2 linked regions of the Canis lupus familiaris genome follow. The protein of the gene in region 1 binds, or shares a complex with, the protein of each later gene. Links are inferred from orthologs where the notes say so. Each region holds a gene or a part of one and is shown on either strand. Other genes may lie near its edges. The genes, in order: KLB and FGF19.

Region 1 (15,192 bases):
CTTCTAGCTTAGATTGACAATCCCAGTGTTTTGAAACCTCAGAGCATCTTAATGTTGAAAGGATGTTCAAAGAGCAATCTTGCTATGAGGTAAGGCAAGCCAAATGCAAATCTTTTAAAAACCTCCAAAAAGCATTCGGTTGAGAAGTGGGTGTGATTAATCTGCTTAGACATCTGGTTGGAAATGGTGAACTATGATCTCAACCCTAGCTCCCAAGAGCTTAGTTCTAAAATTCTGTTTCCCACTAAGAGGATCCTGGACTCCTTGGAGAAATGGCTTTTTCCTATCTGGGGCAGGAAAAGAATGAGGTGATGCTGGTACATCTTATGCCAGAAAAATAAGGATGCACTTAAAAACTGAAAAGGAAATGTCACACAGGAGCAGTTTGAAGGAGTCCCACTGGCCACCTTTGAGATAATTTGTGCATCAAAAGGACTAATGAAACAATTACAGTAATGAATTATATATAATGCATTGAAATTAAAAGAATTACCTAATATACGTAGAAGGAATAACAATTAGAAATTCATCATTTTGCAATCTACAAAGTAATCATTCAGGTAAATTTTATGAATCAATATTAAGGCCATTAGTAGGGCGCCTGGATGGCTCAGTGGTTGAGCATCTGCCTTTGGCTCAGGTTGCGATCCTGGAGTCCTGGGGTGGAGTCCTGGGGTTGAGTCCTGCATCAGGCTCTTTTCAGAGAGCCTGCTTCTCCCTCTGCCTGTGTCTCTGCCTCTCTCTCTGTGTCTCTCATGAATAAATAAATAAAATCTTAAGAAAAAAAAGACCATTAGTGATATGTTGTTGGGAAGCAGGATATGTATATGGTCTCTAAGTGTAACCAGCAGATTACTTCTTGTTTTTTTTTTTTTTTTTTTAGATTACGTCTTAATTACAAATGGAAAAGTTACCTTTCAATTAAGAGGTCTGGCAAATGCTGCCTTAATCAAGAAATATGGTAACTACTACTTCAACACAATAACATCTTCCATAATGAAACAATGACACGTGCTTCCTGATGCAATATATTGGGAAATACAACCTCATCTATGTAGTATCTTTACAGAAGTTTATCTTTACAGAAGTTTATTTATCTTTACAATAAAGAAAAAAAGAAATGGAGAACATGAGACATTCTCCAATCAAATGTTCTGGGCTCTTCAAAAGTGATAATAACATGAACTTGGGGGAATTATTCTGAATTAAAGGAGGCTGAAGATAAATGAGAACCAATGTGTCATCCTTGTTTGTATTCTTGATCTAAAAATCTTTATAAGGACATTTTGGGAACATTTAGGATAATTTGAATATGGAATGTATGTTAGATGATATGAATCAATATTAAATATGGGTTTGATAATGCTATAATGATATAGGAGAATGTTCTTATTTTTAGGAGACACGTTTGAATAGAAATATTTTGGGGTGAAGTGTAATAATGTCTGCAACTTTTCACTGGTTTATAAAAGAGAAAGAAATTGTGGCAACATGCTAAAAATTAGTCAATCTAGATGAAGGGAATATGAGTGTTTATTGCACTAGGTTGAAATTTCTCAAAACAAAAGGTGAGAGGAGAAAAGAATACTGAGAGGCTGGAGGAAAATAAGATAGGGATGTTTATAGGTAGATATACTAATATTTTTTAAGTGTTACTTTCATTTTGTCAGTCTTCCTATAGAGGACATCTAGTTTTTTGGCATCTACTCATACATCCTCTGACTGTGTTTTCAAAAAGCACTCTCATTTTTCTTGGCAAACAATTCATCCTCACTCTTAGTCCAAGTTCAAGGGCAGCTGATGCCTCCCTGGGCTTCAGGTATAAGCATGAGACTCAGAACTAGTTGATCATAGAATTGCTTTCCTCTGACCCAAGTGATTCACTCTTCCTCCTAGGAGTAGGGTAGGGTCCCCAGGTAGGATAGACATTCACAGTGTCAATCACTGGGGCACAAGTGGGTCTTTAGATGAAGCAGAAACTTGCAGGTTGGGTCATATACAGGCAGGAACTCTTATCTCTCCTGGCATCTTTCTTTGTTGGGTGTGGAATTATAAAAAGTATAAACCCATTTGAAGTAGTAGGGGAAAGATGGCCTGCCTTTGCCATGTGGAAGAGATAGCAACCGAGTAAGTAGTTGGCTCTACAGGAGACACAAATTGAAGATGAGTCAGTTCTGTATTTAGGTTACTCTATCTTTCCCCCCTATATTATCTTTGAGCCTTTACCAAATCATGTTTAAGTATCAACAGGGACTGAGATTCATAATATGTGAACTTTATTCATTCATGGTTTGAGCCCTTTTGTTTGGTCTCATCCCTTGTAGATCTTGCTGGCTTTCCATATGCTTCTAGAATATAGGCCATAGTGTGGAATTGTGAGGTCTTATAGCATGGTGTCAGGAAGCAGACAGATCTGGGTACCCTGAACAAATCAGGTAACCTCCCTAAGCCTCAGTTTCCTTGCTTGTAAAATGAGGGTTTTAAGATTTAGGAGAGAATATGCATATATACAACAGTTATATGCTTGGCACATAATAAGGACTTAAAAAAATAGCTGCGGGCAGCCCAGGTGGCTCAGCGGCGCCGCCTTCAGGCCAGGGTGTGGTCCTGGAGATCTGGGATGGAGTCGCATGTCCTGCTCCCTGCATGGAATGGAGCCTGCTTCTCCCTCTGCCTGTGTCTGTGCCTCTCTCTCTCTCTCTCTCTCTCTCTGAGTCTCATGAATAAATAAATCTTTAAAAAATAGTTGCTATTATTTTGAAAAGAGCACTGTAAATGTGGGGGCTTGGGGATGCCTGTTACAGTCCTGCTACTACTTATGTTACCTTGGACTCATTTATGAAATGATAGATCTCACTTTCCTTATCTGTAAAATGAAGGATTTGGAAGAGGAGGTCTCTAAGGTCTCATCTGGCTCTAAAAGTTGGCCTTAACAAATTCACTTTGCATGGTACATGGCCGGTGCTCAGTGGTCCATGTACCCGACGCTGCCCTAGTAAGGCACACAGCAGGGAGCAAAGCCTCAAGCATCTCCACCCTTCTGCAGAAAAAGCTTGCATTCTAGTAGGGTGAAAAAATGACATAAGAAAAATCCATAGAGGGATCCCTGGGTGGCGCAGCGGTTTAGCGCCTGCCTTTGGCCTAGGGCGCGATCCTGGAGACCTGGGATCAAATCCCACGTCGGGCTCCCGGTGCATGGAGCCTGCTTCTCCCTCTGCCTGTGTCTCTGCCTCTCTCTCTCTCTCTGTGTGTGACTATCATAAATAAATAAATAAATAAATTATAAAAAAAAAAAAAAGAAAAATCCATAGAGCAGTTACAAGGGGCTGTGGAGGTGGGGGACATGGGGAGATATTGGTTAAAGGGTACAAACATCCAGTGATAAAATTAAGTTCTGAGGATCTGATGCACAGCATAGTGATTATTAGTAATGACGCTGTATTACATAAAGTTGCCAAGAGAATAGATCTTAAATGTTCTCACCATAAAAAGAAATGGGAATTGTTATGGTGGTATTCATTTTGCAATATATAATTGAATCAAGTCAATGTGTTGTTAAACTTACATAATGTGGTAGTCAGTTATATCTCAATACAGCTAGAGAACAAAAGAAACGTGTGAAAAGTACATAGTAGTATGTTAGATAGTGATGAATAGCATATATGGGGGGGAAAGGAATAAAGGGGAATGAGAGGATTGTGATTTTTTTGGAGTGGAGGGAAGCCTTATTGAGAAGGTGGCATTTAAGTAAGTCATGTGATGAAGGTGACGAATGAGGCTTGGGAGTCCCCACCAGGACATAGGGACCTCATAAGCAAATTATTCAAATCTATCAAATAACAGGAACCACTTAAATAAAGGGCCACTAATAATAATTTGCTTTTGGCAAAACAAAATATATAAAAAAGTTTATAATTTTGATACTACTGACCAATGCCTCTTGCAAAAATAGCTATAAGTTCCCTGGAGACTGTATACTTCTTGAGGGCAGCCTCCCATCTCCATCACCAAAGATAAATTCTAGCACATGAAAGGCTCTCCATAAGCCTTGATTCTCACCTTCCTTCCTCTTACCCCAACTCCCCTCTATAACCTCCAAATAGTCATATTTGCTATTGTCTGACAGCTGTCACTGAATAAAGGAAATAAAATACTGTGTACTATTTGCACCAATTTATGGTTACTTTGTAAGCAGTCACTTACCTTAAGGACAGATTCGGTGACACCCCATGAGAAGTCACAGGGAAACTGACCCTGCACATCTGGGGTGGACTCTTTGAAAGTAAAACCATTTTCTTGTATGATCTGTTTATAGTAATATGCCGAAGACTTGGGCTTTCTTTCTTTTTGTTTACTATTAAAATCCACATAAAATAATCCTCGGCGAGTGGAGTAAGCATCCTGCCATTCAAAGCCATCCAGGAGAGACCAAGCAGTGTAGCCAAACACTTGTATTTCGTCAAACCTTATTGCTGCACAGAGGAAGAAAAGCAGAGATGTTCACTCTTGCTCATGTTTATGATTCGCTAACAATCTGCCAGGGGACATGTGCCAGGAGCATATTGTGAAACCAACTTTTTTCCTAAATTACAGGCTCATTATATAAAATAGAAGATTCATGTTTATACTTGAGAAGCGGCAGTCAGTTTCATCCAGAATGGTCCTCCCCCTACTCACAACAAGTAAAAGACACAGTTAAAAGATCAATTTTAAAATATTCCTGAGAATATTAGTGTGTGAATCTGTGTCAGAAGGCATAGAAATTCCCAGAACCCTTTGGGACCAAGGCAGATGTCTGCTCGTGACCAAGAGTTTTTCATTGCAAGCTTGGGTTAGTTCCCATTTGTGCACAAACTATCTTCTATGAAACCACCCTTTAAGGACTGAAAAATCAGCTTGCAGAATGACCATAAGTGAGTGTCCATGAGGAGAAATAGTATAGTGCTTTAAGAGAACTGACTGGTGAGGGGCAGGAGGTAGGGGGCTGCTATGCTCCTGGGAGGGTGCTATTGGGCAAATTTATTGATCTCGTTTGTTAACAGAAAAGATTGGAAAAGATCTTTCAGGATCTTTGAAAACTCCGATTCAATAACTTATTTTTTAAAGATCTATTTTTTTTTTCGAGAATGTGGGACTCCAACTTACAACCCCAAGACCAAGAGTCACATGCTCTACCGACTGAGCCAGCCGGGCACCCCTGATTCAATAACTTTTAGGAATTGGGTAGAAATGAAATATGAGAATCAACAACAGCAATAAAAGCAACAAATACCTAAATCAATTAAGAACTATTTTTCTTTTCTTAAAAGCTTCCAATTCTCTCATAGAAATGCATCACTTCCGCATTTTTGGGTTTTTGTCACTGATGTTCTTTTCCTAAAAGGTGCGAGATCCAGCCCAAGAGATTCTAGTGAGATCAATACATTCCAGTAGGCCCTGGTTCTAGTCCCTTTGGTGTTGTAGGGCCCTCAGGGGAGATGGAATGGTAACACCTAGGGAATGGATACCCCTTCTGCCCAACTGCATGGTATTTGGCCAAGGCTCTCTAGGCAGAGTCCTTTGCTCTGGAGGCCCCCATGTGCACATGCCCATGGCTGGGCGTGGCTGTTCCATGATGCTCCTTCCCACAGTTTGGGGCAAAAAGATCTTGCTCTCCCTGAGGACCTTCCCTGAAGGTACTCCTGCAGAACCTGTGTTTTCCTCTAGGCTTGTGACTTCTAAATTATAATTAGTTAATTAGTTTATTTATTTTTAAGTAAACTCTATCCCGAATGTGGGGCTGGGACTCAACACCCTAAGATCGAGAACTGTATACTCAGGAGCGCCAGGGTGGCTTAGTTGGTTAAGCATTTGACTCTTGGTTTAAGCTCAGGTTGTGATCTCAGGGTCTTGAGATCGAGCCCTGTGACAGGCTCCACACTCAGTGCAGAGTCTGCTGGTTCCTCTCCCCCTGCTCTAATCCCAGTTACTCTCTCTCTCTCTCTCTCTCTGGAATAAATAAAATCTTCAAAAAAAAAAAATAGTTGCATGCTCTACTGACTGGGCCAGCCAGGCACCCATAGGCTTGCGACTTCTAAAGAGGGCTACAAACTTTTAGAAAGATCTACTGAGAATTTCTTTATATTTGGGTGAAATGGAGCCCAATTCTGTAGGGGACAGACCCATCATCATTTGAGTTTGTCTTCTGCTCCATTATTTCAATCAGCCACCTGTAGATGTCACTACTTGAGTAGCGGAAAAGGAATGAGGGGGTTAGTAGGGGTCAGAGAAACACCCAGGAGCAATAGAAATTACTCAATTTTGCCATTCATGGCTCACTCTTTAGACCTTTTCACCATTTAGTCATGTAATAGAATAAAAAGAGCACAATTTATTTTTTCTTTAAAGATTTATTTATTTACTTATTTGAGGTAGATCAAGTGGGGGGAGGGGCAGAGGGAAAGGGAGACAGAGAAAAGCAGGCTCCCCACTGAGCACATAGACCTCCACAGGGCTCCATGCCAGGACCCTGAGATCACAACCTGAATCCATATCAAGAGTGGAATGCTCAACCAACTGGTCATCCAGGTGCTCTTTTTAAGGAGCCTAATTTCAAGAAAAGCTTTCAGTATCTTAGACTAAGGTACTACTGTTGGAAAACTTTGGAACATATCTCTTGTAGCATGTGTCCTTTTAAAAAGGATGATTGAGCATGAGGGCAACTGGGTGGCTTAGTCAGTTAAGTGTCTAACTCCCGATTCAGGTCATGATCTCAGGCTTGAGAGATCAACCCTTTCCTGAGTCTCTATGCTCAGCCTGGAATTTGCTTGAGAATCTCTCTCACTTCCCCCTTGCTCCTCCATATCTCAAATAAATAAATACATTTTTTAAATCTTTAAAAAATAAAAATAAAAAGAATGATACAGCACCTTGTTGCCAACAAGGGTGTATATCTACAGTCTAGTATTATTTTGTTTTCAAACTTTTATTTAAAAAGGACATGAGAGGGATCCCTGGGTGGCGCAGCGGTATAGTGCCTGCCTTTGGCCCAGGGCCTGATCCTGGAGACCCGGGATCGAGTCCCACGTCAGGCTCCCGGTGCATGGAGCCTGCTTCTCCCTCTGCCTGTGTCTCTGCCTCTCTCTCTCACTGTGTGCCTATCATAAATTAAAAAAAAAAAAAGGACATGAGAGTAACACAAAAATTCTATCAACATTGCACAATGGGAAAGCCCAACAACAATAATATGTTCAAAGATGACTTTAAGTGTCCTATAGGATATGTATTACAAAGTTTTAAAAAATTGAGCTAATGTGCAACCAACCTTGAAGAACCTGGTTGAGGAAATTCTTCATCATGTAAATGGCTGTGGTATCTTCTGTTTTCACATGACTGTCTGTGAACCAGCCATTCTCAGCAATCAAGATTCGGGGGTTGCCATATTCCAGTTTAATCCAATTCAGCACTTCTCTTAAATTGAGTGACACATTTTGTCCCATTTTAGCCATGGTGTTCTGGGGCTTGAAATTGTTGGGTCCAAAGGAAAAGGCAAAGAAGTCAGCTGTGCCCCTCACTTCATTCTTCTCTGCTTCAGAGAAAAGGGGTAGAGTGGAGAGCAACTTCTTTTTCATCACTTCTGGATAGTCTCCATTCCCATGGATGGGGTTGGCAAACCACCCGAGCACTGAAACCATGGATTGTTGACATTTGAGTATATCCATCATGTTTTCTGATCTGTTTGGTTCAATCCAATGGGATCCCAACGTGATTGATAACAAACCCTTCTGATATGGGCGGAAATTTGTGTTGTAGTTATGCCAAACTTTCGAATGAGCCTAATAAGAAGAAAATATCATTAATCTTTATGGTCCTAACTCACAAGGATTGTAACTTGGCTGGTAGAAGGTCTTTTCATGGACAAATTAGTGAAGCACACGATGCAGCAGAGAGCTGTCAGGGAACCCTAATGATCTCAAAGTCTGCTCTCTGTCTGCTTCTGCTGTGCCTCCAACGTAAAGCCTCTCCTATTGGATTGCCAATGGGCAAGCAAAGAGCCCTGGTCCAAACTCCATCTTACTTTTGCTCTCCCTGGCTCCTTTCATGCGCCCTCTTGGTGCTGAGTGTAGGTAAGGTGTGGATTACAGAGTTTCTTCCTCTCCTTAAAAAAACAAAGAGCAATGATCTTTCATTGTTCTACAGAATCTCCTTTTAGCCCTAACTTAGAAGTCCTAGATAATGCACTCTCCAAGTCCTGTAAATGAATAATAGATCCCATCTTCTGGGCTTGTGAAGATTGAATGAATTAATACGTGTAAAGGACTTTAGAATAGTGCCTGGCACAGAGTAACCCCTATATAATCCATTATTATTACTACTGTTACTATTATTTTTATAACACTAATATTGTTAATATAACTTTTATTTTTATAACTCTTCTTTTATAACAATATTGTTATTATTAATATAGCAGTTATTATTACTGCTATTGTAAAAGGATGACAGGGATTATACCCTGCAGGAAAGAGTGTGGGTTTTGGGTTCAGCACTCTTGGGCTTGAAGTTCAGATACTTACCATGTGGCCTTAGATAATTCACTTAACCTTTCTGAAATCTCTTAGTATCTTCAGCTGTAAAAAGAAGTTAATAATAATAATAATAATACCCTTTGTAAAGTTGTTAGATGTGACGCTAACATATATATTAAATGTGTAGCACACAATGAAGCATGTAGGAGGTACTGCTCAAAGATGCATGTCGTTGCTATTGGTCCTCCCACAATTTACATTTCCAGTTGGGTTTTCTTGTAACAGAGCCTCATGATAGGTTTCTAGTCTACTTAAGAGGTACTCAGTGAGCACTAGCTTAGTGCTTGGTTTGCCTTGATCTGCCCTGAGAGACTGAAATAAATGGCACAGAAATGTGCCCTCAGGAGCCAATAATCTTATTGAGAAAATAAGATGGAATATGTGGAAGAAAACATGTATAAAACAGCATAAAATAGGTCATTAAATGAAAAAATAATTAAAAGTTTGGTAAAGAGTCATGAGCTATTTCGGGGGAGCCAATATCAAGGCCTACAATTAAGGACTCTAGGCCAGTTAATGCTCAGGGTCACTTGGTGACCCTGGCAGCCTTAGAATTGTCCTTTATCTGTGTGACAGTATCTCTTCCCCTCAGACTTGCTTGCCTCCTGACATCTCTTCCAAGGTGTCCCAATTCCTCCTCTGTTTCGGTGTTTCTAAAACAAGTGCACAAACCCTTACTATTTTTAACTCACAATATCTGCTTTCCGTTTTGTTTCTTAGTTTGTCTTTTGCTCATTAGAGCTGTATTTTGTACTGGGTTGAATGATCTGAAATGCCTTTTTGTAGGCCAAAAACAATCATATCTGAACAATGGTTCAAACCTCATAGATCCTGGGTTGCTCAGTCAGTTGAGCGTCTGAAGCTTGATTTTGGCTCAGGTCATGATCTTGGGGTCCTGGAATGGAGCCCCACAACCAGCTTCCCGCTCCAAGAGCCTGCCTGTCTCCTTCTCCCTTTGCCTCTCCCCACCCATGCTCTCTCTCTCTCTCAAATAAATCTTAAAAAAAAAAGGGGGGATCCCTGGGTGGCGCAGCGGTTTGGCGCCTGCCTTTGGCCCAGGGCGCAATCCTGGAGACCCGGGATCGAATCCCACGTCGGGCTCCTGGTGCATGGAGCCTGCTTCTCCTTCTGCCCATGTCTCTGCCTCTCTCTCTCTCTGTGACTATCATAAATAAATAAAAATTTAAAAAAAAAAAACAGAACAAAAAACTAATAGATTCTGTGAACACTGAAAAGTTCCCTAAATTGTGTTAGGATGGGGAGAGATAGGTGTTACCCTAAGAGGTAAGGATTCCAGAACAGATGCCTCCTTGCTTTATGCAATAGCTAATTTAAATCCTTCCCTGAAAGATTTTCTGAAGGAGTAGATGCTTTGAAGTATTACCACTATTCCACTTGTCCTTGCTCAATTTTCACTGGAAGATCCTGGAATCATTCAGCACCCAAACATTCTCCAGGATGTTCTTCTACTAGAGAAGTATTTAGGCTGTGGCCTTCTCCCTAATCCAGAACCTGAGTTCCGGCTTCTGGAAGGAAACACAGAGGGAGTCTGGGACAGACTTCACCTGAAATGGTCTTAGGTGCTCTTTCTAGGCTTTTCTGGAGCTGAAATAACAATAGAGAGACTTGAAAGCTGCTCCCTTTTCTTTCTTCCTTTTTTTTTTTTTCCTTCTGATTTGCTACAAAAGCAATCATGCATGACTAGAATTCAAAGGCAGCATTCTTTGCTTTATTCCAATCTCTCTTTTAATCCTTTGCTATCCTCTGTAATTTCATTCACAAACACCACAGTGATCAGTACATCTCTTCAGGGCTGTTGTGCCCCTCTGATGTGTAAACTCTAAAGCCCTGGACACACAAGATTCCAAGTCACAATAAGTTGCCTCACAACTACGATGCCGTCAGAAACTAAAGAGAAAGATGGAATCAGTATACATTTATTAAATCAGTCCTCAGAGGAACAAAAAAAGGAGAGGGGAATTTCTTTAAGATAGATGATCTAATACCTATTTCAGTGAGTATATGAAAGATGACCTAAGCATTGATAAAATCTTGGTTACGTCAGCATTTTATTTTATTTTATTTTTAAAGATTTTATTTATTTATTCATGAGAGACAGAGAGGTAGAGACACAGGCAAAGGAAGAAGCAGGCTCCATGGTGGGACTCGATCCCTGGATTCCAGGATCACTCCCTGGGCCAAAGGGAGGCGCCCAGCCACTGAGGCACCCAGGCATCCCTAGGTCAGCATTTTAATGAGAAATAGGATAGCTTGGAGGACAACAGATACACAGATTTGCAATTCCCTTCCAAGCAAGTTTTCTGGAGATATCTATATATATCTATATATAGATATGTGTTGTCATGCCCCAAGGTGACCTTCGTATTCCACAGTGTCTCTTTCACCTTTGCTGCTGTTTGCATAGGCTATCAAGGTATCTAAGGTTATCTGTGCTCTGGCCTGAAGACAGCCTCTCCATGCTTATGTGGGGAATGTGGGGGAGGTTCTTTGTGTGGCACTTATGGTTATAACTTGATCCTGTTTGCCAAGTAACAAGGTAAAAAGTATTGCTTCGAGGTATGAGTTGGATATAAATCTAGATGTAAGAGAGATATCTAGGGGTGTCCTTTGGTCTGACACTCATGAAGGAGGTCTACTGGGAAAACTAAAATGGGGTGCAGAAGTGCGGCCCGGGCTCTGCAACCTTGCACAACAGTCCTTGTGCGATTTTCAAGGTTACCCTCTATCTTGTACAAGGCCATCTACCTTTGGAATGATTGATTTAAGGGAGCTTCAACCTTTGTTCTTTAGATTCAGTAGATTCAGTAGCTTAAAGGGGAAGTCAGCAGCTTTTTCTTTCCAAGCCAGCTATCAGGGCCTGATGTCATTGAGAAACAGCCAGGGGCCTAATATCTCGTTCTGTTCCCTCCTCTAGTCTAACGTAGTAGCTTCTTTGATGCCTAGAAGACCAGACTCAGATAAGTTCTATGAATGATAGGAAGCAAATAAGATAGTGGGCATGACTTTAGAAACAAAGTGAAGACGGGGTCAGAGGTCAGGAAGACATGTGGGACCCTGTGGACAACAGGGGTTGAAGACAGATGAACAAACCTCATACATCACAGGCGCCTGTTTTTAAGAAAGCCCCAAACATTTGTCGAAAGCTAAATTTCCACATCTGTGTATGATTTTAGTCACATTGAGGTTGAAATACCTTCATGTGAACTATAAACTTTTTTATGGTTAAAGTTATTTCATAAAGTCTTAAATAAAAACCGTTAAAGAAAATTTATTTTATTTTATAAAATTTATTTTAAAACTCCACAATCAGAGCAAACTGTTTTCATATTTCTGTGTTCCCTTCCAATTTTTCCAAATATATTTCCCAGCTAAAATCACTTTGAGCATTTTCCATCTTCCTAGTCTTCATAACCATTCACCAATTTGATGAAATATGGTTTACTTAGTTATGTCTCTTTTGATATGCATTAGCTTGCTTTTCTTTCCTTCCTTCCTTCCTCTCTTTTTTTCCCCCCATCATAAATAATGTCGTAATATCTAACTTTGGAATATAACTTTTAATTTGTTTGGATTCTTTCCTTCTGTTAATCCCAGGCATGGGCTACCTATTTTCAAAATTGTTTTACATAGTTCCAAATTGCTTTTCACACATTTTGTCCATTGATGTGAGTGTTCTTTGACCAACTGCTTCAAAACATTGGTTGTCTATTTGGGGATATATGGTTAGCAAGAACGACAGGAAACTGCTATTTACCTACATGCTACTGTAGGAGAAAGGGTCTTGAAAGTAAGAGACCCAGGCTCTAGTATTGGACCTACTGCTAACTGGCTTTATCACCTTGGATAAATCATCCCCTCCTAGTTGCCTCAGTTCTCCCTCTGTTATTCTAGCTAAAAAGAAACACGCTAGAGAATTGTTGTGAAAATTGAAAGAGGTAAACATGTCAAGACCCTATGAAGATAACACAAATATAAATTTGAAGTACATTAAAAGACTAAGCTGAAAATAATTTATCTTGCTGTGAAAAACAATGGTGGGAAGTCTGTGTGGCCTAGAAGAGTGGTCTGCAGCTAGCTCTCCCTACCTCTTGAGTTTCATGGCTAGATATGTGTGTTCTCATTTATTTCTTGCAGCTGATTGAATTTTAGTCATTGTCCATTTGAATTGGGATTAATTTCAGTTTGATTGAATGGAGCTTGAGTGTATTATGCTGGCAAAATGTTAGAGAAAGTCAAATACCATATGATATTCACTCAGATGTGGAATTTAAGAAACAAAACAAATGAACAGAGGGTAAGGAAAAAGAGAGAGAGGGAAGCAAACCATGAGAGACTCTTAACTATGGGAAACAAACTGAGGGTTGATGGAGGGAGTTGGGTGGGGGATGGACTAAATGGGTGATGGGGATTAAGGAGGGCCCTTGTTATGATGAGCACTGGGTGTTATATGTAAGTGATAAATCACTAAATTCTACACCTGAAACCAAAAATAATAGCAATCATAATTTCAGTTTGATTCATTGATTCATGTGTTTTTTCTACTAGCACTTTATATTAGTATCAAGTTTTCTGTTAATTAAAATTGCTGTCCTTCATTCTGCATTCCACAAATATTTATTGAGGGCTTAAGGTATGCAAACTTTTACTGTTCATTGATAAAAAATATATGACTATTATTTCATTAAAAATATGTGGGGGTACCTGGCTTAGTTGGTGGAGTATGTGACTCTTGATCTTGGGATTGTGAGCTTGAGCCCCATGTTGGCTATAGAGATAACATAAAAGTAAAATCTTTAAAAAAATAAAATAAAATATATGACTGTTATTTAAAAAAATTTTTTTTTGAATCTTGAAATTCTTGGAAACAGTATCTTACCCTCATCTGTCTTAGGAGGCAGCTTAAATATTAATAAAAGTTCCCACCTTTCATAAAGAAAATTTTTACCTATCCTATTTTTAATGGCTCAAATTCACGTTTTTTTTAAATTTTTTCAAATTTTTATTTATTTATGATAGTCACAGAGAGAGAGAGAGAGAGAGAGAGAGGCAGAGACATAGGCAGAGGGAGAGGGAGAAGCAGGCTCCATGCACCGGGAGCCCGACGTGGGACTCGATCCCGGGTCTCCAGGATCGCGCCCTGGGCCAAAGGCAGGCGCCAAACCGCTGCGCCACCAAGGGATCCCCTCATGTGTGTTTTTTTTTTTTTTTAAAGATTTTATTTATTTGTGTGCATGAGAGCGGGAAAGAGCGCACGAGCAAGCCAGCATGAGCAGGGGAAGGGACAGAGGGAAAGGGAGAAGCAGGCTCCCCATAAGTAGGGAACCCAGGACTCTGGGCTTTATCCCAGGACCCCAGGATCATGACCTGAGCCAAAGGCAGATGCTTAATCAACTGAGCCACCCAGGCATCCCTCAAATTCATGTTTTCTATAGTTGGAATAGCTCAGTAATAATCATATTATATTTTGTTTTAATGAGTTTTCTTCTTATATTCTTTTTTTAAAAAAGCTTTTATTTATTTCAGAGAGAAAGAGTGAGTGAGAGAGCACAAGCAGAGGGAAGAACAGAGGGAGAGTAAGAAGAGGGTCCCTCCTGGGCAGAGAGCCCATGCAGGGCTCCATCCCAGGACCCTGGGATCATGACCTGAGCCCAAGGCTGTCGCTCAACTGACTGAGCCACCCAGGTGCCCCCTCTTTTTTTCTTTTCATCATCATATTTTCAAATGATTATAACAAATCTTTGCTTGTTATCAATTTGTATAGTTTCAGGGTTTCCCTATAGGAATCATGTAAAAACTAAACTCTAATATATTTGTTCCTTCAAAAAATGGCTTTAATATTCTTATAGAATCCTAATTTCAATGATAATATTAGTAAATTCAACTAATGCTTGAATCAGAGTCTAAACCTGGCAACACAGAGGGGAAAAAAAAGTCTAGAATAAAGCTTATAATTAATTAAGTGAAGCATCTGTGGGTTTCCCCAGATATTAGAAGGGAGCTTTAAGAAATCAATATTAGCAAATTGATGCTTAACTGAAGTTCAATTTCCTTGCCCAAGAAGAACATTTGCATGCCAACTCTGCAGAGGTTGGAATGCTATTTTAAGCTTCCTGTTATTATTACATTAACAATTGGGATCCTGTTAGTAATTTTTTCATGCAAAAGGAGCATATCTCAGAGTATAAATGAAGCTAAAATGGCCTGGGTGAGGGACATGAAGCCTTTCCTCAGGATTTAGGAATGAAGAGTTAAAGACAGTCCATGTAGAAACCACTCTGGAAATTACAAAAATACAGTTATTACAATAACAAAAATAAAACCTACTAGTTTTAGGCCTGGCAACAAAGGCAGATTTCCCGGAACTGAAGGAAGCGGAAGCCTTAGGACTCCTCACTTGCATGGGTCCCTATAAAATGTTCTAGGTGGGTTGGAAGCTGGTTGCATTTAGAAGCATTTCTAGAAAAGTATTGCTGATGAATTTCCAAAGAGACCTCAGAAAAGAAGGAATATGAATCTCTAAGATTACAGTAATCTGTTGTAATATTTTTCTCATTCCAAATAAATGTTCACTTTTGTACTAACTTTGCATCCATAATTTTTTTTTTTT
Region 2 (15,844 bases), on another chromosome or scaffold:
GAGGGAGCCCTCTCTCCTTGGCTTGCAGATGGGCCTTCCCCGTGTGTCCTGCTCACCCCTCATGGTGACCTCGTGTTACCTCAATCACCTCTTGAAAGGCTCCATCTCCAAATACAGTGACATTCTGGGGCGCTGGGGGAGGGGGGAGGGAGGGAGGGAAGGAAGGGGAAGAAACTGAGGTTTCTTCGTGGTCTGTCTTCCTCTGCAGACGGGCTGGAAGGAAGGAGACATACAGCCATTCTCAGACGGAGGGATGACGAGGAAGCCAACCACACTTGTCTCTAAAGAGTGGCCAAAGGAAGTTCCCTAAGAGTAAGAAATTATGATGGAAAAGGTCTCCTGGAACCTTAGGAAGGAGCCAAGAGCATTGGCCTGGTAAAACCAGGGGTAAGTCCATCAGACGATCCTTCTCATGAGGTTTCCAAATCATACTTGATGGTTGAGGCCAAAACTGTTAACAGTATGGGATGTGGTGCTTCTAGAGTTGTCTGCCTGTCTCTCTGTCTTTCTCTCTCTGCTCCCAGTTGCAAAAGACACCCCTTCTTTTGTTTCCCCATGCCCTAATGAGACTCCCTTCTCACGACCTTGAAAGTGTCCTGAGCCCGAGGCAGGGGCCACTCTTCTGTCTCCCTATAACTCCATGACCCATTTCTGGGTCCAGGGTGGTCTTATGCCCACAGTCCCCTTATACTTCTCTGTCTTTGGATCATTTCTAGGTGGCATTTCCTAACCCGGAGGAGAAAAGCTCGCCAATTCAGCACGGCAGCTGGTGAATCAACAAATGCAGGCATTTACTGAGACTTCTGTCCCCTCTGGGGAAGCACCCTGCTCCCAATCCCTGAGCTTCCCGGGCTGATTCCTCCCAGTGTGGTGGGGGTGGCTCAGGGCTGACCAGTCATTGTGTCCTGGCCCCTGGCTGCAGAGATCTGGAGATCTGGTGGGGAATCACCAGGGGACAGGAGGGTGGGGAGAGGGTCCCAGATGCTTGTGGGAGCTGTGGGGGGTGGGGGTAAGAGAAGCTGCCGCTGCTGGGGACCATCTGTCCTTACCTTAGGAGGGGAGAAGATGCAAAAGCTGAAGGACAGAGACACTGATGTGTTGAGCCGCCCCCATCCCCAAGCACACCTGGCCTTTCAACAAGGTGAACCCCAAGGACAACAATCTAGAGGCAGCACGAGGATTCTCACTTGGCAGGTGCAGAAACAGTCCAAAGAAAGAGTTCTTTTGAGTTCTGCTTCTGGGATCTCACCACTGGACAGGCTTATTCAATCAAGCCCCTTCCTGCCCCTGGTACTTTCTCGGTAGTTGACCCCCACGTCTGTGGCATAGATCTAAAGCTAGTGCTGCCAGACAAAATACAGGATGCCCCCTTAAATTTGAATTTTGGATGAACAATGAATAATTTCTTAGCATAAGTAGGTCTCATATTGCATGGACATATGTATACTAAAAAGTATGTTGCTTATCTGAAATTCAAATTTCACTGGGCAGGTCAGGCTTTTGTTTGCTTAAACTTAATAGCACTGTCTAAGGCGCAAAGGGAGATGCAGCAAAAAGGGGAAGGCCACCTTCCTAGGAGGAGCAGAGTTAGGTCAGGGGGTTGGACGCAAGAAGCAGTCTTGAAGAATCATCCTCCTGTCTCCTGCCAGAGTGCCCACATCAGCCATAAAGGTGGTCATCACAACGTTTTGCCCGTCAGGTCAAGTGAAAACGTGACCTGGAGTGAAAATGTATTAACCATCAACAGTCTAGTGTGAATTAGTTTACAAAAATGTGCATTTAGGGCAGCCCCAGTGGCCCAGTGGTTTAGCGCCGCCTTCAGCCTGGGGTGTGATCCTGGAGACCCGGGATCGAGTCCCACATCGGGCTCCCTGCATGGAGCCTGCTTCTCCCTCTGCCTGTGTCTCTGCCTCTCTTTCTCTGTGTCTGTCATGAATAAATAAATAAAATCTTTAAAAAAAAAACAAAAACAAAGATGTGCATTTACTCATTATTGTCAGCTATGCTGTGGGGAGGACACTCCATTCCTTTTTCCCTGAAGTGTTTGTCTCCAGAGCACAAAAGATCAAATATAAAATGGTTTTCCTGTGGCCAGTCAACCTGGGCTGCGCATGTGAATCTTCGGGGAGCTTTACAAAATCGTAATATGCAGGCCACACAAATTCCAATTAAACCCAATCTCTGGGGATGTGCTCTAACCACTCTCTTTCCCAAGGTGATTCCACTGTGCAACCGAATTTAAGAATCAGTAGAAATAATTGTTCTGGGCCAGTTCGAGTCCTGGTGAGGGCTGCTGCTGTCTGGCGGCCCACTCTGTACCAGGCATCTCGCAGACAGATTCCATTTGGTTCTCCCAATAGTCCTGCAATGCACACCTTGTTCATCTCACGGTTCACATGAAGTTGCAGGCTCACAGGGGTGACTTGACGTACTCCAAGTGACACAGGTTAATAGGCCGGAGGATTTCTTGCCTGAACCCACAGTCCTTCCACCATGCTGCTTCCGGGCTCTGCAGCTTTGGATGGGTGCCTTCCCTGGGTGGTCCTGTACTCCATCACCTGTAGAACAAGGGGTAGAGGATGCTGGTCAGCAGGGGTCACCCATTCTGCAGTGTCATGGGGCAGAGGGGAGAGGCAGTCAAGAGTGAGGCGGCATCATGACAAACAAGCGGTGGAGGGTCAACTCTGGAGGTCCTGGGCACGTCCTCAGTGTGCATGACAGCTTAGAGTGGGGTGTCCTTGCAGGGGACATGGGAGACGCCTCATGAAATAGCCTCGGTAGACGTTCACAATGATCTTCAGCAGAGTAACTGACATAACTGCACAGTACCTCCCAGGTGATGGGGTGAACTGGACCATTGTCCACACCAGGCACTGCGTGGCTGCTCCCGTCATTACTGCTCTCTCCATCCTCATCCCATATTACAGATGAGGAAATCAAGGCTCAGAAAAGCCCATGATTTTCTCTAGAATGAACAGCCAGTTGGGGAATTTTGCCTAAAGACATGCAGCAACTTCTTCCGCAATTTGTGGTTGTCATAATGAGGGGATGCTACTGGCATCTAGTGGATGGAGAGGCCAGGGTCACTGTTGATCATCCTAGCTCACTCAGGAACACCTGACCCCAGCAAAGAGCTACGTGGCCCCAAGTGTCAACATGCAGAGGGTGACACTACTAGCTGGGGTTTGGTTCCTACACCTGACACACCCCTATGCTGTGGCTGAGGTAACCATGCAGAGTCCTAGCAGAGGTAGTAGAAGGAAGCCTGCACCCAGGTCCACGCAGCTTCCACCACTGGGTAAACCGAATCTACTATTCGACCCACCAGAGCCTCAGCTTAGAGGGTGGTTGCAATGACTGTGAGCTTTGGCAGAAAGTGTAGTTTTAAATGCAGCAAACACCCAAAGCCTCTCCTCTGAGCTCAGCGCCAAGGTCTGTTTCCCTTCCCTCCCCTTCCCGCTCTCCCTCGAGGGCATCCAATTGGATAATGAAATGCAACTTTTGGTACAAATTGTGCTTTAATGTAGAAAACAAAAAACTCACGTACATCATAAATACAACTTAGGAGTATAAATAAAGTAAGAAAATAGAGAGATGTACATATCAAACAAAATAAATTACTCATAAATACCACGTTGTTGAACTAAGTGCTGGGGGAAGGGGCTCTCTCCCCGCTGCTTCCGCAAGTTACTGGCAAGATTCCGGGCTTGCGAATCCAAACTTTCCTGGCTTTTGAACGAGATGTGCAGGTCTACCCAAGGTGGGAGGCTGCCAAGTTCTGCTGCATAGGAAGACGTGGTGCCCAGCGAAGGGCTAGGAAAGGGGAAGGAGCCCCAGAAGCCACATCTGCTCCACTCTTCTTGGAATCCTTGGTGCTTAAGAAAGGAGGGAACACGCCAGAGCCGCAGCGTCGCCGAGACCAGGAAGGTTCTGTCCTGAGGGGCAATCATGTGAAACCCACACGTCCAGAGATGGGATCCTGTGGAAACCTGCATTGTGATGGCAAGGGCTGCTGGGGCTGTCCTCGTGTCCTGTCCCTCTCAGTAGGTGCCCATTCATTTAGGGGAATCAGCCTGAGCCTTAGCAAATGTTGGCTATGTGCAGGGCACTGGTGGTCAAGGTGGGGGGGGCAGGCAGACTGCCAAGTAGTCCGATGAAGGTGATCTATCCCAGAACCAGCCGTAGTGGGGAGTTCTTAAAAGTTTTCCCGGGCTCTGGGTTCTCCCAGTTCCTGAAGCCTGGTGAGGTATGCCCATGCCCGGTCAGTTCTGTCCTGGTAAGTTTTCACAAAGCTGATCACCTATACGTGAGTTTAAAATGACCGCTTTTTTCCTGGCTGCCCCTGCTAGAAATGATGGGAGAGAACGTTCCCAAAGGTAGTGAGTTCCCGGCCAGTGGAGGTATTCAAGCAGAATCAGGGCACCACAGCAAACTGTCCAGCAATGGCAAAGGTGCAGGGTGGAGGGCTTATGATTTTATGATCATACAAGTCTATCTGCTAGGAACTGGCATAGCCGATGGAAAACTCTGTACATGTACAAGCTCTAGATGTCTCTTCCTAAAGCTAACTGGAACACGAGCCCAGGATCGTATTTGTAGAAGCACAGCCAGAACCCACCACACGTCTGGGGTCCTGGCCTCTAAGGGCTGGGGGCAGGGGTGGGAGGTCAGGCCACAGCCCCACTTATTTTTGGAAACTGGGACTCTTCACTAGTCCAATTTTGGTGGCGATCCCAAAAGGGTCCATGCTGTCTGTTTCCAGGGATGCAGAAAACCCGTCAGACTCCACATGGTCTTCCAGGTCCCTGGGCTCTGTTGGGCTCCCGGGCAAGATAGGTAAGAAGTGGGACAGGGGCAAAAAGCCCCTGCCCTTGTAGAGCTGCCTCTGTTTGGCACTACTCAGAGAGATGGGGAGATGGTGCTTCTTGGACCAGTACACATTGTAGCCATCGGGACGGATCTCCTCCTCGAAAGTACAGTCTCCGGCGGAGTACTGAGGCTGTGGAGAAAACAGGCAACCATGAGCACCAGTGGGAGCCCCCTGGTGCTCCAGAAGCAGCAGAGAAAACGGGCACTGGTGAGCATTTGTGCTACATGTTGCCACTTGGGTCCACATGATGAGCCGTGTTTATCTGTGTGTGTAGTTATACATAGCATAACGTACGTGTTTATATATGTAAATGTGTACTTCTATAAAGTAGGCATTACATTATATTAATAAACACATTGTGCATATGCTAATATAAAAATGTAATAAATTGGGCAGCCGGGGTGGCTCAGCGGTTTAGCGCCGCCTGCAGCCCAAGGTGTGATCCTGAAGACCAGGGATCGAGTCCCATGTCTGGCTCCCTGCATGGAGCCTTCTTCTCCCTCTGCCTGTGTCTCTGTCTCTCTCTCTCTCTCTCTCTCTCTGTCTCTCATGAATAAATAAATAAAATCTTTTTTAAAAAAAGAAATGTAATAAATTATAACATTAAAGTTACATACCGCATTATATATACTTTGTAAGTATAAATTTATACATATTAATAGGTGTTTTATATGCCTTCATATACACACATACTTCAGGTGCGTATTTCATGTGTGTACTCAGTATCTGTATATACTTTTCATGGATCTTTTATATCTCTCACTAAATCATGTCACTTCTTAAACTTAGCCTTGTTCTGAGCAATATGCATCAAATCAGAGGTGCAACATGGGTGCCTCTGTCCCTCACCCTTTACAGCAAACATAGAACTATTGACATGAAAATGTCCCTGGGGTCCACTGACACTTTGGGAGACACCGCTACACTGGGTATGCTCTCCTAATCTGATCTAGGGCCCAGACTAGCGCATTGATTCCCCATCTAGACCTAAGTAACAGTGGGCCATTCTGAGGCCTTTCTGTCTGATGTCCTTGCAGGAAACCTCAGCCCCCTTGTGAGGGGTGAGGGCTCCTTCCTTCCAAGGCCCAGAGCCTTCCAGGCAGCCGGCCAGGATTATCAAGATAAAGGCAGCCCCCTCCCCCCAGACCCAGAACAGAGTCTGCACCCAGCGGGGTGGCGGGAAATGCAAGCCTACGGGATGAAAGCAGCTCCTGGGGTCCCAGAATACTGGTAGCAAAGAAGTACCAGTGGGCCAAGTCCTGTACCAAACTGGAGAAGGTCATTACCCTGGGGAAGGTGGGGACACAGAGGGCAGCCTAAGGCAGAGAGCCAGGAGGGCTGGGCGGTAAACAACCCCGTGAGGCACCCAGTCCCGTTTGTGCCCGAGCCTACAAAGGTCGCTGAACTGCAGGTGGGTGAGCGCTGTGCTGATAAGGCACTGATAAGGCTCAAGTCTAATGAAGCAACAACATACCCAGCTCCCGCACTGCGATAGAGCCACCAGACAGCGACGGGAAATGCAAATTGATAAATAAACAAGAGAATTAAAAGCAAATGGTGGTACCCTTTTACTCTGCTGGTCCTTTGGGAGAAACTAGCACCCATGCTCTTCTCTAAACAGAAAAGGAAAGGATTTCGAATTGCTTGGAGAAAGTGGAATTTGTTTAAAAACAACAACAACAACAACAACAACAAAACAACCTCCGTTTTGGTTAAGCCATGCCCACGGGATCAAGGGACAGAACAGGATTTCGGGGGAAGCAACCTTCCCCCCCTCCAAGTTTGGACTAGATTGGTGGGTTAGACCCCTCTGCGCCAGCACGACCTCCAGCATTTCCCCTGCCCATCCTCACCCCGCGCCCCCCCCCCCCCCCCATCCCAAGTAAATGTCCCGATAACAAAAGTTGCCACTGCGGGTTTGGAGAGTGGCTTTGGGTGTCAGCTTTCAGCGAGCTGACCACCTCCTTTCTTTCCCTCCGTTCTGGTCCTTTCACGCAGGACTCTGCCATAAAACCTCAAACAGTCACTCTGGATAAATGGAATAAACCGGCCCCAGAGCCACAGAACAACTGGGACACACACACACAAAAAGACTGGCGCTGCCGGGAGGCCCGGCGTCTGCATCTTTCCTGGGGGCGGGGCCACCCCCGGAGGCGCGGTCTCCCGCCCCCTCGCCCCGCTCCGGCAGCCGCGCCCTCCGCCCAGCGGGGCTGCATTGAGGCCCTGCGCCCGGCCGGGACCTCACACAGGCTCCTCTGTGCGCCCGGGGGCGCGGGAGGGGCGCGGGCTCCCTTTGAACTCCCAGCCTTTGTTCCCGGAGACCGAGACCCAGCTTCCGCACACTTCCTGCCCCGAGACCTCGAGGGTCACCTGGGCCTTCCCGTCCCGTTTCCCCGCAGCACCCTCCCCCAAAAGCATCTGCGGCACAGGTGAGCGCTCCACGAGGGCAAACAAGCCCCTGGAATATTCTTGCAACGCGTCAGCAAGCACCACACTGCTTTTCTAGTAGGTAAAAATTAATGGAGAGGAAAAAAAAAAAAAAATCACACACACAACCCCTCCCCCCGCCCCAAATGTAATTTTTTCTGACTTATTGGAAGGTCGGTTTAAAAAAAAAAAAAAAAAGTCCAAGTGACTATACTTTCTCATGCTTTCCTTTTCTACCGCGGGGAGGGAACCGGCGGCGAGGACCACACACGCGCAGGCCCAGATTGAAATGGCCCGAGGTGGGTTTCACTGTTTCTTGTCAAAGAAAGCCGAGGACAGCGTCTCCTCTGTCCCCCTGGGCCGGCCCTCGGCTCAATAGGAAATGCAAAGGCAGCTCTCACCCCTTCTCTGGCCACCAGCCGTAAACTTGCGTAGAAACCCCCCCACACTTCAGCTTCATCTGTCCCCTCGCGGTCTTCCCTCCCGAGCTCCCCCGCCGGACCCCACGCAGAAAGCGAGGAGAGCCTGGGCTCGATCCAGCGCGCCCCCCTCCCCTGCGGGGCCCCGCCCGGGGGCAGGCGGAGGTCCCCCCGGCGGAGACACCTACCAGCCCTTGCATCCTGCCGTCGGCGCCCATGCAGAGGTACCGGCCGCTGTGCACGCCCTTGATGGCCACGGTCCGCAGAGCGACCGCCCTCATCTCCATCAGACCTGGGGTCGAGGGAAGCAGAAAGAAGGCTGCAGCCGGGACCCGCGGGGCCCACAGCACGTGGATGCGGTGCGTGCACAGGCCCGTGCCCTCCCCCACCCCACCCCACCCCACCCCTCCCCTCATGCATTCTGGGACCCTGGGGAGGGAATGGGACGCCCAGGTGCCAAGATCTGGGGTTCCCGGGAAGCGGGGGTCCGCGGGAACCGAAGGGGACAAGCGAACACTAACGCGTGGGTGCGGTGGGTCCACGTGCGGGCGCCCCCCCCCCAGCTCCCCGCGCTGTCAGGGGCCCGGGGCAGGGAGCAGACGCGGAGGTGCCAACGTGGGGTTCCCGAAGGAGGTGAAGGGAAGGGGCACCGGGGCGAGTGGGCACTCACTGTGCGCGCTCTGGCCCCGCGCGCAGTCCACCCCGCCGTCGGCGCGGATGCGCAGGAAGCAGCTGGAGAGGCCGTGGGGGCCGGCGGTGTACAGGTGCCGCAGGCGGATGGGCTCCCCCCAGCCGTAGTGCACGTGCGGCCCCGCGTCGGAGAAGGCTAGGGGGCGCCCGGCTGCGGCCAGCCAGAGGCCGGCTAGGACCAGGGCGCGGGCCACCGCGCACCGGCTCTGCGCGCGCCGCATGGCACCTCCGGGCTCGGGGCTCGGGGCTCGGGACGCGGTTCTGGCGGCGAGGGCGAGGGCGCGGGCGGCTGGGCTGCAGCAGGGCCGTGCGTGCCGGGGCGGGGTGCGTCCCTCGGGCCGGCGGTGCGCTCCGGGCGCCCGGGCGCTCAGCGCTCCTGCTCCGACGGCGCGGAGGCTCGAAGCCAGCGGCCTTATATAGCGCGTCTTACCCGCCCGGCGGGTGGGTGCCCGCGACACCCGAGCATTTCTTATCAGGATTGCATCAGCCCTCCGCCCCCCGCACACACCCACTCACACCCCGCCTCCTGCCCCAGCCCCTCCCCGGACCCCGCCCGGGTGACCCCGCCCAGGCCTCCCGGATCTGGGGGAGGAGGAGGCCCCGTTTCACCGGAGGGTTCGGGGGGCCCCTCCCCGCCGCGCAGTGGTGGGGCCGGGGGCCAGGTCGCTCTCAGCTGGGAGAGTTTGATTTTATAAAGCAATAAAGGAGACAACGCGTCCCCGCCCCCTCGCCTCCGGCTCCCCCAGGGAATGCGCTCCCCGCGGGGCGCTAGCAGGAGCGGGGAGCAGGCACCCCGTGACCAGAGACTGAGGCACCGACCTTTGCATCCCTCGCCCCCTGTCCGGAGAAGCGTCGCCTCGGCTTCGGGGCGCTCTCCCCTTAAAAGCCCGCATCCACTCCCTCCCACGACGGTCCCAACCGTCATATCTCCAGATGTAAAGCCGTCCATTAGAATTTCCCCCTGCCGCTCGGACTAGCTCACGTCGTCCTGGTCTTATGGTCTCGCGATCCCGGCCCCCCTCCCGCCCCTTTACCCCAGTAAATTGCCCCCCGACGGGGGGCCGGGCTCCAGTCCCGGGACGAACAATGGGGAAGTGGCGCGCGGCGAGCGCTAGATGGCGCTTCGGCCCCGGCTTCGGCCTCTGCCCGCAGGGCCCGCGGCCCCGGAGCTGCAGCCTGGCGGGGCGGGGGTCCTAAGGCGCCGCTCGCGGGCGCAGGGACGGCTCGGCCGCGGCGGACGGGGACTCTCGGACTTCCCAGCTCGGACCAGGCGCGGCGCGGCGCGGGGAGGCTTATGTTTGGGGTGCCTTTTGTCGTTGGTCTGGTCCTCGGGTCTCTGAGTCCTCCCGGGGCCAGGACGCCCCCTCCCCCGCCCCGCCCCGTGTCTTGGGGGGATTGGGGGAGGAGAGGTCGGGGAGGGACAGAGCAGCAGTGAGAGGCGATGCTGAGCTGGGGGTAGGCACCAGGCCGGAGATTGGGGCTGCTTGGTCTAGTGGCACCTGCAAACCAGACTTTCTCCAAGGATGCTCAGAAAAGGGAAAAAGCATCCAGAGAATGCCCTGGCTGGCCGGAGAGGGTCCTCCTGGGGACCTTGGGCTCCACACTGATTCTTTCTCATTTCTTCTCCAGACCTCACCCCCGACCCCCAAATCCTGGGTGTGGAGCCCCAGCAGGCCAGTTTTGGGGGAAAGCCATGCTGTCTCAGCGCAAAGGCAATGGGCGGGCAAGCAGTGGAGAGCGGGGAGAGAAATCAGGGCCAGACCTAATGAATTTCAATGAGTAAAGGCCATGTTCATACCCAGTCAGTGACTGGCGTTAATGACGGAGCGTGCAGAAAATGTCACCAGGAAAGGCTTTACAAAAAGACATCATCTCAAAGGCTTTATAGACCAGGACCCCCACGCTGCGTGTCTTGGTTCAGAAAGCCACGGCTTCTGTTAAATCTAATTACTTCCCCCCTGTGGCTTTAAATCGACAGCGGCTCCTATTAAACTTAATTACCCTCCCCTGCAGCTTTCGTTTTAAAGATCCTGGATAAATGTGGGGCACTGAGGAGGATGGCAGAGGCTGCAATGGGGGCCGCACCCAGGATCGGTCTGGGGGCAGGGAACACCAGCCTCTGGCCCCACCCGTGCTCTTTTGCTGCCCTTCCCATGGACACAGTGGAAGGACAGTGGCCACTGTGATCTCGGAGCTCAGGAAGGTGGTAAAGGCAGCAGCTTCCTATGCCCAGGCCCTGTTCTAAACACATTATGGGTGTCCTCGGCTTTAACCCCTATAAGAACCTCCATAGTATTCTATCCCCACTTCTTTGAATAGCTAGGAGAGGAGGGCCCCAGAAAAGTGGCACCCAGCCTTCAAGTAGTGGACCTGGAATTGGAACCCAGGCCATCAAGCTTGTAAATCCAGGCCATGCCTCCTCTCTGAGAGGTGCTGTGGCCTCCAAGCAGGGGCTCGGGCTTTAGGATCGGATTCTCTCCACCACAAATCCTCGCCTGGGCTCTCCGTGGGCAGGTCATGGACCTGCTGGGCCTGTTGTCTCCTCATGCTTGCTTTGAGCCTTGTCCTGGGGTCACATGGGAGAGTGGACCTAAGGTACCAGATATGGTTCATGAAGAGTGACGGCCATCCACTAAGAGTTGATGGGGTACTAGCATTACATAATCACAGGGTGCTCTGAAAGTTTGGGTGATTAATTCATACTATCAGGAAACGAAGGTGTGCAGAGTTGTCCAGACAGGCAGCAAGTGTTTGCTCCCAGCCAGGCTGAGCTAGGGGCCCTGGGCAGGTCTGCTGGTCCCCCTGGTGTGCTCCTTGGAGGAAGACAGGAGGAGCAGGGGAAAGGCGGTCCTGGCCAGCAGGGGGCGCTGCGGTTAGCACTCTAGGTGAGAGCTGCTCAGGACGGCGAGGAACCCAATAAAGGCTCCCAGCCCTGCAGCCACCAGTATGCTGGGATGGGATGATCTGGATTTTTCTGGTGGTGACTGAACCCGGTGACCCGCCCCGGTGAGATTTCATTCACTGAGTGGAGGGCAATTGGAGCAAGAGTCCAGGTCACCCTCGCTGCCCCACTCAGCCCACCCAGGGCCCAAGGGCTCTCAGGCAATGGTGACCAGAAGTGCCTTGCTTGGCAGCTTCCTTCTGGGTTCGATGTTAGCTGGGATCTTTTGTGTTTTGTATTGTTTTTTTTTTTAAGATTTTATTTTTTCATTTGAGGGAGAGAGTACAAGGAGGGGAAGAAGCAGACTCCTCGCTGAGCAGGGAGCCAGACATGGGGCTCAATCCCAGGACCCCAGGATCATGACCTGAGGCAGACGCATAACCGCATAAGCATAACCGACTGAGCCACCCAGGTGCCCCCAGCTGGGATCTTTTGAACTGCCCTAAACCCTTATCCTGGGGCCACCCTCTCTCAACCCAAGCTTGTCTGAATTGTTCTTGATGGTGGCAAATGAAAGATTTTCATTGTTTCTAAACGCACATCCCAACAGCTAAGAAAATCTTGTTCCGGTTCGCTTCCAGTCTTTGCATTATGAAAATAGTTGTTTTTCTTTTCACTTTATGGCTAGAAATTTACGTTACAATGTCAAACATGCCTTCTTAAGTACATAAGCACCTCCTCAAGCCCATCCCAAATCCCCTGCCCCCGCCCCACAGTTGAGCAGTTCCTTGTAATTACAGAAACTTCTCGGTGGTGGTAAAAATCTTCATCAAAAAGTAAGAAGTGGCAAAACAGGCCTGTGACAGAAAGGACTATGAATACTTGGGTTAAGGGAAGCCACTGGTTCCTGGCAGAACCAAGAATGGAACTCAGGGACACTGAATCAGTCCAATATGTTTGCTAGAATCTGCTAGAACATGCATCATTTCCCCCAAAGCATTCGGTGTCATCAAAACCCATTTTTCCCCTACTAGGATCATTATTCTAAAAATAAAAGACACGGCACCCCACTAGCCCAGAAATGGGCAGAAGCCATATCAGAGGGGAAAAAGGAAGACTTCTCTGAGCCTCTTTATTTGTAAAATAGCAAAAGGATTGCTTTTAACCTCCAAATGAGTTAATGTGAGAATTAGCAAAGATACCTCCATCAATGGAGAGATAAATACTCATATAGAGACCGCCTGGCATACGTGGGTGCATAACAGAAGGGGTAGCTATTGTTATTTATTTAAAGGCTACTCTCGTTATCTTTGCATTTTAAAATAACGGCAACCCTAGAAAAAGACAAATCTGGTCTATAGTGACAAAAAGCTCATCAGTAGTTGCCTGAGGCAGGAGATAGGCGTGGGGATTACCAGAAAGGAGCCAGAGGAAGCTTTCTGGGATGATGGGGATGTCCTTTTTCTCAATTGAGGTGATGAGTAATAGGCAATGACATTTGTCAAAACTCATTGAATGGTGCCCTTAAAATTAGGGTGCATTTTAAGTTGTGACTCAATGAAGTGGAGTTTGAACATTTTCTTTCTTTCTTTCTTTCTTTCTTTCTTTCTTTCTTTCTTTCTTTCTTTCTTTCTTTCTTTCTTTCTTTCTTTCTAAGATTTTATTTATTTATTCACAAGACACACAGAGAGAGAGGCAGAGACATAGGCAGAGGGAGAAGCAGGCTCCCTATGGGGAACCCTATGTGGGACTCCATCCCAGGGTCCCGGGATCATGAGCCTAAGGCAGACACTCAATCACTGAGCTACCCAGGCACCTTGAGTTTGAACGTTTTCATTGCAAAAGTGGTACTTGTTTGTGGTTGAAAATTTGGAAACTACAGAAAATCGCAATGGGGGCAAGTTTAAAACCTGGAATATTATGACTGCATTATGAGCTACTGTTTCTATTTGGGTAAATTTCTTCCTCAGACTTTTAAAAAATACATATGTATCTTTAAAAAAAAACAAAACACCCACAGCATTTGAATTATATTTTCCTTTCTCTCACTTACCGTCTCCCAGGACATTAAACCCCTTTTACAGCCCTCTTGGATCCCAGCAGATCTGAGTGGGCTACTGTGAGGGTCTGGTCTGTTCCCCAGGGCTGGACATTTAGGTTGTTTCCCGTCTCCTCTCCCACATCACGTAGGGGAGGAAATCCTGGAGACACATCTCACACCTATCCACTTTCAGAAGGGGGATTACCAGGCTCTGTGGTCTCTCTTCCCAGGTAGGTCCCAGTCCAGGTACAAACGCTGGATTAAGGTGAGATGTAGCCGTTTGCTACTGGAATTTGGGAAACGACCCTTCTCTATCCACACTAAGGGAGGTACAACTTCCTCCAGGCTTCTTCAGGTGAGTCCGACACTATGTTTAAGTCACAGCCAACCAAGGGGCACAGGAGCTGGGATTGGAAGCTTCTTTGGCTGCCAGTTCAGACTCCCACCCCACCCCAGGACCTGAGGCCCACTCACTGGCCCAGCCCCTCACCCCTGTCCACCTCCCCACCCCACCCCCATTGGGCAGGGTGTAGGTGAGGTTGTGCCTTACTTTATCATATGTGATACAGGAGCTGGCAGTCATTCCTGGGACAGAGGAACTCCTCACAACATGGCTGTAAAGCTGATTTCTGCCCATGAATTCTGCTCATCAAAGCAGCCACGTGTTTCCAATGGAAAATAGTTGGACCTGTCAGTGTATCAATATCTAAGAATGCAAGAACATGGCAAATGTCACCCCGTTAAAGAAAAAAAAGGTAGCTTAATGAGAAAACATGAACTGTGCTAACAGTGATGTCTCTAAAAGCCATCACATTAAAATATTGATCCTGGAAGGTCCTGGAGTCACTGAGCGGAAGCACTCCTGACGTGGTGGCCCCTGGCCAGCAGGACAGCCAGATAGCAACCCGTTGGGGTGCTGCTGGGGCTCCGTGGGCTCTGCTCCTCACACAGCTGGCAGGTGTTTCTCCATACGGTTATTGCCCTGCCATCTGCCTCCTCCCCAAACGTGTTTCCGTGGAGGTGGCGAATGTGTCTGCTCAGTTTGCAGCCGTGTCCTCAGTGCCTTGAGCAGAACCTGACACGTAGCTGATGGTCAAGAAAAAGTGCACCAATCATTTAAAGGAAACCAGGAGGCGTTGACGTGGCTGTGAATGTGCTGGATTCTTCCGTTTGTCTATCCTTCCCTTGCACGTTCTGTCCATCCTTCCTTCCACCCTGCCCTGGCTTCCCTGGCCGTATTCATCATTCACGGATCTGCCAACACTTTCTGAGCACTTCTGATGGGTCAGGTCTCATGCATCAGACCTTCTCTTGGCCTGTGATAGCCCAGAGGCAGGGCTCCCAACCCAACCGGAGGGGTGTACTTGGGGCACCCGGTGGTGCACGCAGGGAAGGTTAAGGTTGGCATTGCTGTTGCAGGATCTGCAGGATCGCCGGGGCCAACGGGAGTGGCACAAACAAGAACTCTCTCTAGAAGTCCTTCTCCCCGAGGACTGGCCCCGGGCACCATAAGCATATTTCAGGAACACTTCCGGACGAAGCCATATCCACTCGCGTTTTCCTCTTGGAGAGGAGTCCGTGGGAGAGAGCACCCCGCCAGTGCTGGCAGAGGGAGGGCAGCGACTTTCACCCTGGACCAGGGCCAGTCCTCCTGCGTCACTCACATCTAAGACCTCACCTCTGGAGAAGGGTCTGCCCAACAAAGTCATGTCCCATAGACTTCCTGCAGCAGCACCAGGCGCCAGCCATTGACCCATTTGGTAGACGAGACACCAAGGCACACGAAGCCAGGCTGGCAGTAAGGAGCTGACAGGTAAGGAGCTGAGTGAGACTCCCCACCCCATGCCGGGGACAGCACACCTCCCACTTGCCCCGCTGCCCTCCAGGCCTGGGCAGAGACGGGCAGGCAGGACCGATACTCCCGGAGGCAAATCACAGGGGCAGTGAACTAGGGACTCCAGGTCATTTTACTGATTCTGGGGTTGCGCAGGACCTGGAAGGTGATTTCTTAGAAACCCCAAATTAGCAAATGAACAAAAATAAGAATCAGAGAGGGGGAATGACATTCAGCCTTGTGGGCAGCAGAAAAGGGACCAGAACACATTCTATTACAGCAATATCCCCTTCCCGCCCAGAACATCACAGAGTCCAGCACAACGTTTGATTTGTTATAAAGTCTTTAAAAAAAAAAAAAAAAAAAAGAGAAAAAACCTACATGCTGATGGTTCCTTATTTAAAACACCTGCTGGGACACCTGGGTGGCTCTGTGGTTGAGCATCTGCCTGACTCAGGGTGTGATCCTGGAGTCCCGGGGTTGAGTCCCACATCGGGCTCCCTGCATGGAGCTTGCTTCTCCCTCTGCCTGTGTCTCTGCCTCTCTCTGTGTCTCTCATGAATAAATAAATAAAATATTTAAAAATAAATAAAAATAAAAACACTGGCTTGAGCAGACTGGCCATTCCAGGGGGCTGGGGAGGGATGCCTGGGGACTGACCAATGGGTTCACAGGTAAGAAC

The links.
Region 2: the proteins of KLB (region 1) and FGF19 are in contact, whole or in part, in a crystal structure (PDB 6NFJ), measured with the Homo sapiens proteins. The link is inferred for Canis lupus familiaris from reciprocal best matches to the Homo sapiens genes KLB and FGF19. Residues at the interface, in NP_783864.1 of Homo sapiens: Phe379, Lys380, Val392, Leu394, Trp419, Phe420, Thr421, Asp422, Val425, Thr431, Tyr434, Met435, Asn438, Tyr643, Glu693, Arg696, His743, Asn824, Phe826, Met832, Gln848, Phe849, Leu850, Gln851, Ile853, Leu862, Phe931, Phe942; in NP_005108.1 of Homo sapiens: Leu192, Thr194, Asp195, Ser196, Met197, Pro199, Phe200, Leu202, Val203, Thr204, Ser211, Pro212, Ser213.

The regions. Positions count from the first base shown.
Region 1 is NC_049224.1:73,577,112-73,592,303, forward strand, and holds part of KLB (beta-klotho), read right to left. Parts: intron 7,815-15,192; coding exon 7,304-7,814; intron 4,473-7,303; coding exon 4,204-4,472; intron 1-4,203.
Region 2 is NC_049239.1:48,913,747-48,929,590, reverse strand, and holds FGF19 (fibroblast growth factor 19), read right to left. Parts: upstream 8,628-15,844; coding exon 8,387-8,627; intron 8,009-8,386; coding exon 7,905-8,008; intron 5,000-7,904; coding exon 4,685-4,999; 3' UTR 3,545-4,684; downstream 1-3,544. UniProt on the Homo sapiens protein: Involved in the suppression of bile acid biosynthesis through down-regulation of CYP7A1 expression, following positive regulation of the JNK and ERK1/2 cascades. Stimulates glucose uptake in adipocytes. Activity requires the presence of KLB and FGFR4.